Linked DNA regions of Saccharomyces cerevisiae S288C. Changing the gene in region 3 together with the main gene of any one other region gives a genetic interaction. Each region holds a gene or a part of one and is shown on either strand. Other genes may lie near its edges.

What was found.
Region 1: mutations in MTC3 (region 3) and TDP1 are lethal when combined (synthetic lethality), as found in Saccharomyces cerevisiae (one study listed by BioGRID).
Region 2: mutations in MTC3 (region 3) and YME2 together harm fitness more than expected from each alone (negative genetic interaction), as found in Saccharomyces cerevisiae (2 studies listed by BioGRID).

Annotation. Positions count from the first base shown.
Region 1 is NC_001134.8:668,142-671,942, reverse strand, and holds TDP1 (tyrosyl-DNA phosphodiesterase 1), read left to right. Parts: upstream 1-1,645; coding exon 1,646-3,280; downstream 3,281-3,801. Other genes in the region: YBR225W (uncharacterized protein), read right to left, coding at 1-1,316; PCS60 (Pcs60p), read left to right, coding at 3,592-3,801. UniProt on the Saccharomyces cerevisiae protein: DNA repair enzyme that can remove a variety of covalent adducts from DNA through hydrolysis of a 3'-phosphodiester bond, giving rise to DNA with a free 3' phosphate.
Region 2 is NC_001145.3:869,416-874,297, reverse strand, and holds YME2 (Yme2p), read left to right. Parts: upstream 1-1,672; coding exon 1,673-4,225; downstream 4,226-4,882. Other genes in the region: alcohol dehydrogenase ADH2, read left to right, coding at 1-1,007; ATP-binding cassette Fe/S cluster precursor transporter ATM1, read left to right, coding at 4,671-4,882. UniProt on the Saccharomyces cerevisiae protein: Plays a role in maintaining the mitochondrial genome and in controlling the mtDNA escape. Involved in the regulation of mtDNA nucleotide structure and number. May have a dispensable role in early maturation of pre-rRNA.
Region 3 is NC_001139.9:71,709-74,270, reverse strand, and holds MTC3 (Mtc3p), read right to left. Parts: upstream 932-2,562; coding exon 560-931; downstream 1-559. Other genes in the region: OST5 (dolichyl-diphosphooligosaccharide--protein glycotransferase subunit), read left to right, coding at 1,113-1,133, 1,283-1,522; glucose-induced degradation complex subunit VID30, read right to left, coding at 1,724-2,562. UniProt on the Saccharomyces cerevisiae protein: May be involved in telomere capping.

The DNA.
Region 1 (3,801 bases), on a different chromosome or scaffold from region 3:
CTGCTGTCAATCATCCAGGGAGATAAATCTAATGCGAAATCTGCGATGTTCAAGCTTGGTTCATCATACGCCAGCTGCCAACCGCCCAGGGTTTTATGCAGCGGTCTTATTAATAAGATGTCAATTTCGTCTAATGGATCCGATATTACTGGCCTTGGAGAGTTTGCTTCTATATCTAACTGCTGAATATATAATGTAGGGTCACTGATCTTGTTGCTGGTGGTGCTGATTGTTGGATTAGAATGTTGTCTTGTGGTTGGTTTTCTTTTTATTAGTTCCTCCACTACTTCAGATGAAAAGAAGAATGAATTTGATTGCAGTAAAAATTTTTGAGATTGAGCCAACCATAATTGAATCAAGGATTCAATTTCAGAATAATCTTTTAACGGGTCAAACGATGGAAAGCATTTAACCTCAGTCTCTATATTTATGATGTTTTCAATGTTAAATGGATAACATTCAAATGCATATTTCCTAGATTCCAAATATTTTGTTAGGAAATCAATGTACGACCGTAATCTTTTCTTGGCAAATATTAAAGAGTCTTCTGGCGAGGAGTCCATGTTAAAAGATAGAAACAAGTCCATTCTATTAAAGAGCTCATTATGATTCGGGTCGTACATTATTTGTTTGAATTCACCGTCTATGCAAATGTTGATTAAATTATGATTTCCTGAAACGGTTTTGATTAGAAGAGAAGAATCTGATGCCGGTAAAGTGTTCCAGTCCCATTTTTTTCTAGAATGGAGTTTCTTGACAACGTTCGAAGTTGCACCGTGTAGACCACCACCTCCCCGGCCATTGCCGACCATATTGGATACAATGAATCGCGGTGCAGAAGGGTCTGGTGAGTAATTAGCTTTCACTTCGGAAGTCGGAGTTCCGCTTCTATGACTATGTTTATTATTACTTGTATGATGATGATGTAGACCTATTTTGGAAAGCTGAGCGGACTTCAGTTTGGATACTGAGGATGAGGCAGCGGAGTCAGATGATCGTCTTGACGAGTTTGAGAACAAGTCATCCGCCAGTCTAAAGTTTGGCAAATGTAAGGGCGAATCAAAGGACGAGAGCTTATCTGAATGATGGCTTACTTGTGGTGAGTGTGATTCTACTGAACTACTTGATTGCGTGGTTCCATTTCTACTCTCTTTTTCTTGTTTCCCCTTTTCTTTGTCAGCATTTTTATGTTCAGTAATCATTGAACTTGTATGGTTATCATGTGCTTTTAAGTTGGAAATTTTGTTACTGGTTATACTGGTTAACCCCCTATCATTCTTACTATCAATGTTTTTTGCTTCCTTATTGGAGCCCATTGTATTTACTTGAGCAGTTTATAAAAAGTGGATAAATGAGGGGAAAAATAATAAAAAAGAAAATTGAACAATCCTTCAATATGTGTCCTTTAATAATTACTACTACTTTACACACTTCTCCAGTAGCTGCTGCTTGTTTCAGGTGATGTGAACAACGTGTTTCAGCGTTCTTGGTAAGTGTTGGTATGGATCCCTTCTGATGTATTTTCGGCGGCCGCACTAAACTGCGAAAATGGTAATTTAATAAAGGGCTTATAAAGAGGAAAATAATGCAGAGAAACGGTGAGCCCAGACAAGAATGATGATAATGTGTTTTCAACCGATCATTAATGTCACGAGAAACAAATTTCAATGGAACTAAGAGGAAGAGGTCGGATGTTGCCGAGAAAGTAGCACAACGGTGGAAGAGCGTCAGGTATAGTGCTGAAATGGAGAATATGGCTCCGGTCAACAGTAACAATGATAGCGACGACTGCGTCATAGTCAGTGAATCGAAAATCATTGATTTGACTAATCAGGAACAAGATTTGAGTGAGAGAATAGAAACAAACGATACGGCAAAAGGTGCCGTTTTTAAACTAATGAAATCGGACTTCTATGAAAGAGAGGATTTTATGGGAGAAGTAGAGGATATGATTACATTGAAAGATATCTTTGGCACTGAGACACTAAAAAGAAGCATACTCTTCAGTTTCCAATACGAACTTGATTTCTTGTTGAGACAATTCCACCAGAACGTAGAGAACATAACCATCGTCGGCCAAAAGGGTACTATTATGCCTATCGAAGCCCGTGCTATGGACGCGACACTGGCAGTAATATTAAAAAAGGTCAAACTTATTGAAATAACGATGCCCCCATTCGCTTCCCACCATACGAAGCTGATCATAAACTTTTACGATAATGGCGAATGCAAAATATTCTTGCCATCTAACAATTTTACGTCAATGGAGACTAACCTGCCTCAACAGGTGTGTTGGTGCAGTCCCCTTTTGAAAATAGGTAAAGAAGGGCTACCAGTACCGTTTAAGAGAAGCTTGATAGAATACCTCAATTCGTACCACCTGAAAGACATTGACGAATTGATTACAAAAAGCGTAGAGGAAGTTAACTTTGCTCCTTTGAGCGAATTAGAATTTGTATATTCTACGCCCTCCAAATTTCAGTCGTCGGGTTTACTGTCGTTTTACAATAAACTAGAAAAACTTTCTGCTGGCACAAGTGCTAGTGATACTGCAAAACATTATCTATGTCAAACTTCATCCATAGGGACATCTCTATCAAGAGCGCGAGACGAAAACTTATGGACACATCTAATGATTCCTCTGTTTACCGGAATCATGTCCCCTCCAGCAAAGGACACCGCTGGGAGGAAGAAAGCAGAAATACTGCCAACGAATTCATTGATTAATGAATATTCGCAGAGAAAAATCAAGCCGTACATTATTTTCCCCACCGAACAAGAGTTTGTCACCAGTCCCTTAAAGTGGTCCAGTTCCGGGTGGTTTCATTTTCAATATCTTCAGAAAAAGAGCTACTACGAAATGCTGCGAAACAAGTTCAAAGTATTTTACAAGCAAGACCCTGCTATGGTTACTAGAAGACGAGGGACGACGCCCGCGCACTCTAAGTTTTACATGCATTGTGCAACAAACTCCGCAGGGCCCTGTGATGCATCGCAGGTATTTAAAGAACTAGAATGGTGCCTTTATACTTCGGCAAACCTCAGCCAAACAGCATGGGGCACCGTTTCAAGAAAACCACGCAATTATGAAGCAGGAGTGCTTTACCATAGTCGCAGGTTAGCAAATACCAGGAAGGTCACGTGCCGTACTTTTACACGTGACCGTAGAGGCTGCGCGGGTAATCCCACCCATGTGGCCGTGCCATTCACGCTGCCAGTCATACCATACGACTTAGCTGAGGACGAGTGCTTTTGCCTTGCTCGTCATGAGAACGACTAACAAGTAAGAGCGCGATGTTGCTGTCCACTTAGGCATCACTATATGGGGCCAGGAATGGCAAATTTACTTGATAAACTTCAGGCGATTGGATTTTGGTGCTCAGAATATTTTTTTCTCGGGCCGAAAGCGTCTTTAACTATTCCGAGCTAAAGCTTCCGAGTCCTTTATTCGGTCTTTTTTTATTTTTCAAGATTAACTGTATATAAATAGAGATGGTATGATTAAAAGCTCTTTTTAATAGATGCTCCTTCTTGAAATTTACTCCCACTGTGCTGCAAGAGGTTAGACGCTTCACGCACATTTTTGCTACAATGACAAGTGCCGCTACTGTTACTGCTTCGTTCAACGATACTTTTAGCGTATCCGATAATGTCGCCGTTATTGTTCCTGAAACGGACACTCAGGTGACCTACAGGGATCTATCCCACATGGTGGGTCACTTCCAGACCATGTTCACAAATCCTAATTCTCCATTGTACGGAGCTGTTTTCAGACAAGATACAGTGGCGATATCCATGCGT
Region 2 (4,882 bases), on a different chromosome or scaffold from region 3:
AATCCAACGGCAAGTTGGAGCATAAGGATATCCCAGTTCCAAAGCCAAAGCCCAACGAATTGTTAATCAACGTCAAGTACTCTGGTGTCTGCCACACCGATTTGCACGCTTGGCATGGTGACTGGCCATTGCCAACTAAGTTACCATTAGTTGGTGGTCACGAAGGTGCCGGTGTCGTTGTCGGCATGGGTGAAAACGTTAAGGGCTGGAAGATCGGTGACTACGCCGGTATCAAATGGTTGAACGGTTCTTGTATGGCCTGTGAATACTGTGAATTGGGTAACGAATCCAACTGTCCTCACGCTGACTTGTCTGGTTACACCCACGACGGTTCTTTCCAAGAATACGCTACCGCTGACGCTGTTCAAGCCGCTCACATTCCTCAAGGTACTGACTTGGCTGAAGTCGCGCCAATCTTGTGTGCTGGTATCACCGTATACAAGGCTTTGAAGTCTGCCAACTTGAGAGCAGGCCACTGGGCGGCCATTTCTGGTGCTGCTGGTGGTCTAGGTTCTTTGGCTGTTCAATATGCTAAGGCGATGGGTTACAGAGTCTTAGGTATTGATGGTGGTCCAGGAAAGGAAGAATTGTTTACCTCGCTCGGTGGTGAAGTATTCATCGACTTCACCAAAGAGAAGGACATTGTTAGCGCAGTCGTTAAGGCTACCAACGGCGGTGCCCACGGTATCATCAATGTTTCCGTTTCCGAAGCCGCTATCGAAGCTTCTACCAGATACTGTAGGGCGAACGGTACTGTTGTCTTGGTTGGTTTGCCAGCCGGTGCAAAGTGCTCCTCTGATGTCTTCAACCACGTTGTCAAGTCTATCTCCATTGTCGGCTCTTACGTGGGGAACAGAGCTGATACCAGAGAAGCCTTAGATTTCTTTGCCAGAGGTCTAGTCAAGTCTCCAATAAAGGTAGTTGGCTTATCCAGTTTACCAGAAATTTACGAAAAGATGGAGAAGGGCCAAATTGCTGGTAGATACGTTGTTGACACTTCTAAATAAGCGGATCTCTTATGTCTTTACGATTTATAGTTTTCATTATCAAGTATGCCTATATTAGTATATAGCATCTTTAGATGACAGTGTTCGAAGTTTCACGAATAAAAGATAATATTCTACTTTTTGCTCCCACCGCGTTTGCTAGCACGAGTGAACACCATCCCTCGCCTGTGAGTTGTACCCATTCCTCTAAACTGTAGACATGGTAGCTTCAGCAGTGTTCGTTATGTACGGCATCCTCCAACAAACAGTCGGTTATAGTTTGTCCTGCTCCTCTGAATCGTCTCCCTCGATATTTCTCATTTTCCTTCGCATGCCAGCATTGAAATGATCGAAGTTCAATGATGAAACGGTAATTCTTCTGTCATTTACTCATCTCATCTCATCAAGTTATATAATTCTATACGGATGTAATTTTTCACTTTTCGTCTTGACGTCCACCCTATAATTTCAATTATTGAACCCTCACAAATGATGCACTGCAATGTACACACCCTCATATAGTTTCTCAGGGCTTGATCAGGGTTCCGTAGATGGGAATTTGAGAAGTATAAGGGAGATAACGGTAATGTTATATTGAGAAAATGAAAGATGAACTCAGTATTGACAGGATCTAAAACCAAAATATAGCGGGCCTATACAGGAAGTAGTATTTGTAAAAGTAAACCATGTTGCTAGTACGAACGACTTCCCTGAATGTGTCAAGGATGCCAGTGCCATGCCTCGCCAGAGGAATAGGCATCCTCAAGGGCAAATATAGACTAGCGAACCTGATGAATGCCCAACCCTCAGTGAGACATGTGTCGAGCGAGATCCAGCAAAAGGATCAGCAGGCAGGAGAGTCAAACACCGCCACCGATACTGGTGTTATTCACAAATCAGATGAAGAAACTCTGATATATTTCGATAATGTTTACGCTAGAACCACCTCGGTTTGGAATCCAACACTGTGGTACAATCTCCTGCTAAGAAACCAGTCACGGGATGCAGTGAGGGAGAAAATAAGGAATTTAGCCAGTCCACCCAATAACCCCATTTATGGACTGGAGTTGAAGTCTACCATTCCAGTGAAAAGGGATGGTGGTGTATTTGCCACATTTGTCGTTCCACCCAAGTATACAAAAGCTCAGGTAAATTCTCTAATCCAACAGAATACAGCCAGAGAATCCTCTAAAAACTTACTCTCGTACTTCACTCGAGCTTCTGCCTTCCCAGTAAAGGGTTCGCCTTGGATTGAGGATTTAAGAAGACTACCAAGTACCACTATAGTCATCAAGTTCCAAGGGCCCGCCTTAACAGAAGAAGAAATATACTCTTTATTCAGAAGATATGGGACAATTATTGATATTTTCCCTCCCACTGCTGCTAACAACAATGTGGCAAAGGTAAGATACCGTTCATTCCGTGGTGCCATTTCTGCCAAGAATTGTGTTTCCGGTATCGAAATTCATAATACCGTCTTACACATACAATACGAAAATATCAGAAGAGGCCATCTAGTTAGTAATTTTTTCACCAACCATACAAGGATTGCTATTCCAGTTTTATTTGCGCTACTTTCAATCTTTGCTGTTTTAGTGTTTGATCCTATAAGAGAATTTTCGATTGAACAGAAGATCACTCACAAATATTCTTTATCGTGGGACAATAAGTTTTGGAAACAACTGAAAACGCTAACCTCATCTACCATGACTTCTATCAAGTACTACTGGGGCGGCCCTGATGATAATCACCAAAGAAAGCATTTATGGGAGGAAAGAATAGAGAAAGTGAATGACCTGAAAATGTGGCTTGAAGAAAATAATAATACTTTTGTGGTTATAAGGGGGCCTAGAGGTTCAGGGAAACATGATTTGGTCATGCAACACACTTTGCAAAATAGAGCAAATGTTTTGTATTTGGATTGTGATAAATTGATTAAGTCCAGAACAGATCCTATGTTTTTAAAAAATGCCGCTAGTCAATTGGGTTATTTCCCAATATTCCCATGGATTGACTCTGTCACAGGTGTCCTTGATTTAACAGTGCAAGGATTAACAGGGCAAAAAACTGGGTTGTCTGAGACGAAGGAATCTCGGTTTAGAAACATGTTAACTACCTCATTGATGTCCATTAGACGTATTGCTCTCAAGAATTACAAGGCTTTTGTTTCCACCGGTGATGGGACAGTTAATGTTAAGGAAGAAGATTACCTACAGCAACATCCGGAAGCTAAACCCGTTATCGTCATAGATAGGTTTGAGGGCAAGTCGGAAATAAATGGATTTGTGTATAAGGAACTATCCGATTGGGCAGCTATGCTAGTTCAAATGAATATTGCTCATGTGATTTTCTTAACGGAAACCGTTGCATCCAACCAAAGATTGAGCGAATCACTACCCAATCAAGTCTTCAAAAACCTAATCCTATCAGATGCCTCAAAAGAGAATTCGAGGAACTATGTATTATCCCAATTGGAGGATTACTTATATTACAATAAAAAATCCAAGGGTGAAAACGTAAAAGAACCTGAATCAGAAAAGGAAACTGCTGAAAATAATGATTCTGATAGTGAGGCCGATACGAGTGTCAAAAAAGCTGAGGTTATTTTAAATGAAAAGGAATTACAGGAAATTGACGCTTCTTTAGAGCCATTGGGTGGTAGGATGTTAGACTTACAGGCATTTGTAAGAAGGGTAAAGTCAGGAGAAGAGCCCTCGGAAGCAGTAGACAAAATGATTGAACAGGCTTCTGAGCAAATAACTCAAATGTTTTTAAGTGACAAGATTGACAGCAATAAAAGTGCACAAGCCTGGGAATTAATCGAATTATTGAGTGCGAACCCAGTCATTCCATTCCATGAAATCGTTAACAAGCCATTATTCAAAGCCGCACCAGAAACGGGAATCATGGAATTGGAGAATAATGGTTTAATAACTGTATCTAGAGATAGGGGTGTTTTACAGGAAATCAGGCCTGCCAAACCGCTATACAGGGCAGCATTCACATACTTGATCAACGATCCTGAACTCGCAAAAGTGCTAAAAACCCGTTACTTATTAAAGGTTGTGGGTTTTGAAACTGGTAGAATCAAGAAATGGGAAGAAGAATTAAAACCTTTGGGGAAAGTTCCTGATCAGAAACTTTTCAAGACCAGATTGGACTATTTATCCGGTAAAATCAATGCCAGTAATGCAGTCATTACCAAATGTGAAGAAGAAATTAAAAACCTATCTAAGTGATGAAACAAAACTTACTATTCTGCTTTTCTGTACATATGTGTAAACCCTATATTGCTATACTCATCTATATTCTTTTGAAAATGTATAAAAGTGACGATTGGAGATGGTGCAATTTTCTACGCAGCATGAAAAATATCTAAGGAAGGTAAGGTACATACCAAGTAAGTCTTATAATATGTTGTTGTACCTCACTTTACCATTCTTAAAGTCTTTAAAAGAAATTACCTTACCCAATTTGCACAGCAAAGGTCACTGACCTATACGTGCCCTTCATCAGATTACATCACGTGAAATTTCACTGGGAAAGAGCGCGAGGGCTTTCCGATGACTTTCTACATTAATAATCGCAAACAAAGCAATCAGCACAGCAAAGAGTACAATTTCGAAAATTGCGACAGAGCAACGTAAGTATATCGTTGTTGATAGATTCCACTCCAACCTGCAAATGCTGCTTCTTCCAAGATGTCCTGTAATTGGGCGAATTGTAAGATCAAAATTTAGATCTGGTCTAATCCGGAACCATTCGCCCGTTATATTTACTGTGTCTAAGTTATCAACCCAGCGGCCTCTGTTATTCAATTCAGCTGTGAATTTATGGAATCAAGCACAAAAGGATATTACGCACAAAAAATCCGTCGAGCAATTCTCGTCGGCTCC
Region 3 (2,562 bases):
TCAACAAATTACTCTTTACCATGTAGACAGCTACTGATTCAGGCGCACATGAAGACCTATTCGCTTATTTAACAAATATTAGCGTATTTTTTGAGACTATTAACGTGTGTAGACCTCCAGAGGCTGCACTCTAAAAGCCCCCAGGGATATGTCTATACTGTCCTTTGAGAGTTATACGTATGAAAAATAGTAAGGAGACGTCTCTAAGCGTATTTAGAATATACGCTAAGAGTGACTAATGTAGGTAAGTGCGCAGTAATGGCTGGTAAACTTTTTTTTATACTAGTGCCATGTTGTACTGAACTTCAATTTTACAACTAAACTATGAAGCAAGTATCTTATCTTGGGGTTGTATATTTCAATTAAGTGGTTTCGTGGTCTAGTCGGTTATGGCATCTGCTTAACACGCAGAACGTCCCCAGTTCGATCCTGGGCGAAATCATTATTTTTTTGAATTTTTATATTAGTTTATTTACAGGGATAGATAATGAATGATAAAAAATGAATAGAACGTACTCTGCGCAAGCGCATATATATATATACTATTGTTGCTTCCAATTTATACAAGATCCCTTAATTGTTCCTCTAGCTTTTTATCTTGTTTCCAATTATAAAATGCAGTCGCTGCACCGCCAAATAAAACAAGGTTGAACACTATCCGCATTCCCGTGTACCCTACGTTCCATTCGTTGCCCTTGGATCTGCCACCACAGGGTCCATAAGATAAGAAATACGCTGCTTTGGTCTCCTCCAGCGGTATATGTCTCCAATCTTCTTGCATCCTCCATCGTAAGTATTCCTTGATTTCATCCCTAACTTCAGGTCGTAGAGTGGGCCATAACTTCGTTATATTCGTAATCTCTACTACCGGTGGCTGATAAGTGCTGAAAGATCTTTTCAGTGCTAGCCGAATACCGTTTCGTCCCATCATCTTCTGCCTTATTTCTACCTATGTTGAAATGATATCTTTTGGGTGGTCTTCTCTTTTCTTTGACGCGAAATTTGAAATTGCAAATACTTTTCGAAGAAGGATGCAAGTACACATAAAACGTATACTGTAAATAGGCAAAACATAAGCAGTGAGAGATATCCCTGCATATTCAAGGTTTACAATGACTTATGAACAATTATACGTACGTTGCCTGTAACGCTGGTTGATGCTATTCTTTTGATGTTTTTAACAACACACAGGACAATGAATAGTTCCCTTCCTGTTTTCTAATTCATAATTACTAACAAGTATAGCCAATTCGCCTTCTCGGCATTTGTGTAATCACTTAAGAAAGAGTTCCATTCCTCAAAGAGCTTCCAGCCATTTATCCACTTAGACACTCAACCAAAATTTGCAATTTGTGGTTTAATCGTTACATTAGCTGTATTATCATCTGCCCTGTTCGCCGTCGGTTCTAAATCTTCATACATTAAGAAACTCTTCTTCTACACAATTTTAAGTGTAATTGGCAGCTTGTTTGCTGGCTTGACCACTGTTTTTGCTTCGAATTCTTTCGGTGTCTACGTCTAGTGGCTCTTCGTTGGCCTATAAAGGAATTATCGATGAAATTATATACTATACTTAAGAAGTATTTTGGATGAGAATATTAAAAAGAAAGGTGTCAAGTAAATTTCATTATATAAACGGTTTAAGACATATTAATATGCGATTTTTGGGAAGATAATGACTGATATCACATGGCTTTGTTGTTTGAAGGTGCTTGTTTTATGCTCATAAATTCAACACATCTTCGTCGAAGTTAATAGCTTTGTAATATCTTGGATCTGAAGAGTTGGTTGAACCGAACGCGTTATACTCAAGTAATGTAGAAAGCATAGCTCTAGTGTTTGATATTACATTCTCTAATGCGCATTCGCTATCCTTATGTAAAAATGTTAGTATTGTGTTGTTACTAACTTGAAATAATCTCTCTTGTAAGTATTCGTCACTCAAATATCCTGATATCTCCTTTGGTGCCTCCACAAGTGGATTGGAATATGCTAACAATGCAGAGACATTACTCAATTGTCCACTAAACCTATCCCTCAAAGATTGTGGAATTTTAGTATCGTAGATAAATTCATTAGATAATTCTTGACCCTTCAAAATTAAATTTTCAATTTCGTCATCATCTTTGGATGAACTCTTTTTAATCATCACCAGATAATTCGCTAGTTTTAACTCAAATACCAATTCTAGATTATTTTTTAACAGATCTGGAATTTCGTTATCGATATAATTGATGCATTTGCTAATTTGACCTTTGTTTATCAAGTATCTTAATTCTTGCCTTATCTTTACCATACGTTCTTCTTTCATGATCTGTCTTTCATTGTGCCTGATAACATCTTTACTTTCAGAATGTTGCCCATTGACATTAACCGCATCTTTTTGCAAATCTTTCAAAAACCCCTTTGCAACATCCACCAATCCTTCGTGGATCAAATAATCATTTATCATCACGTTTAATGTATTAGGCAATGAACCGTCATCCACGCTTAAGTTGTTAATATTGTTCACGTCTGGTCTAACTAGCTTTCCATCTATAAACCTATTATCTTCTCCCAAAA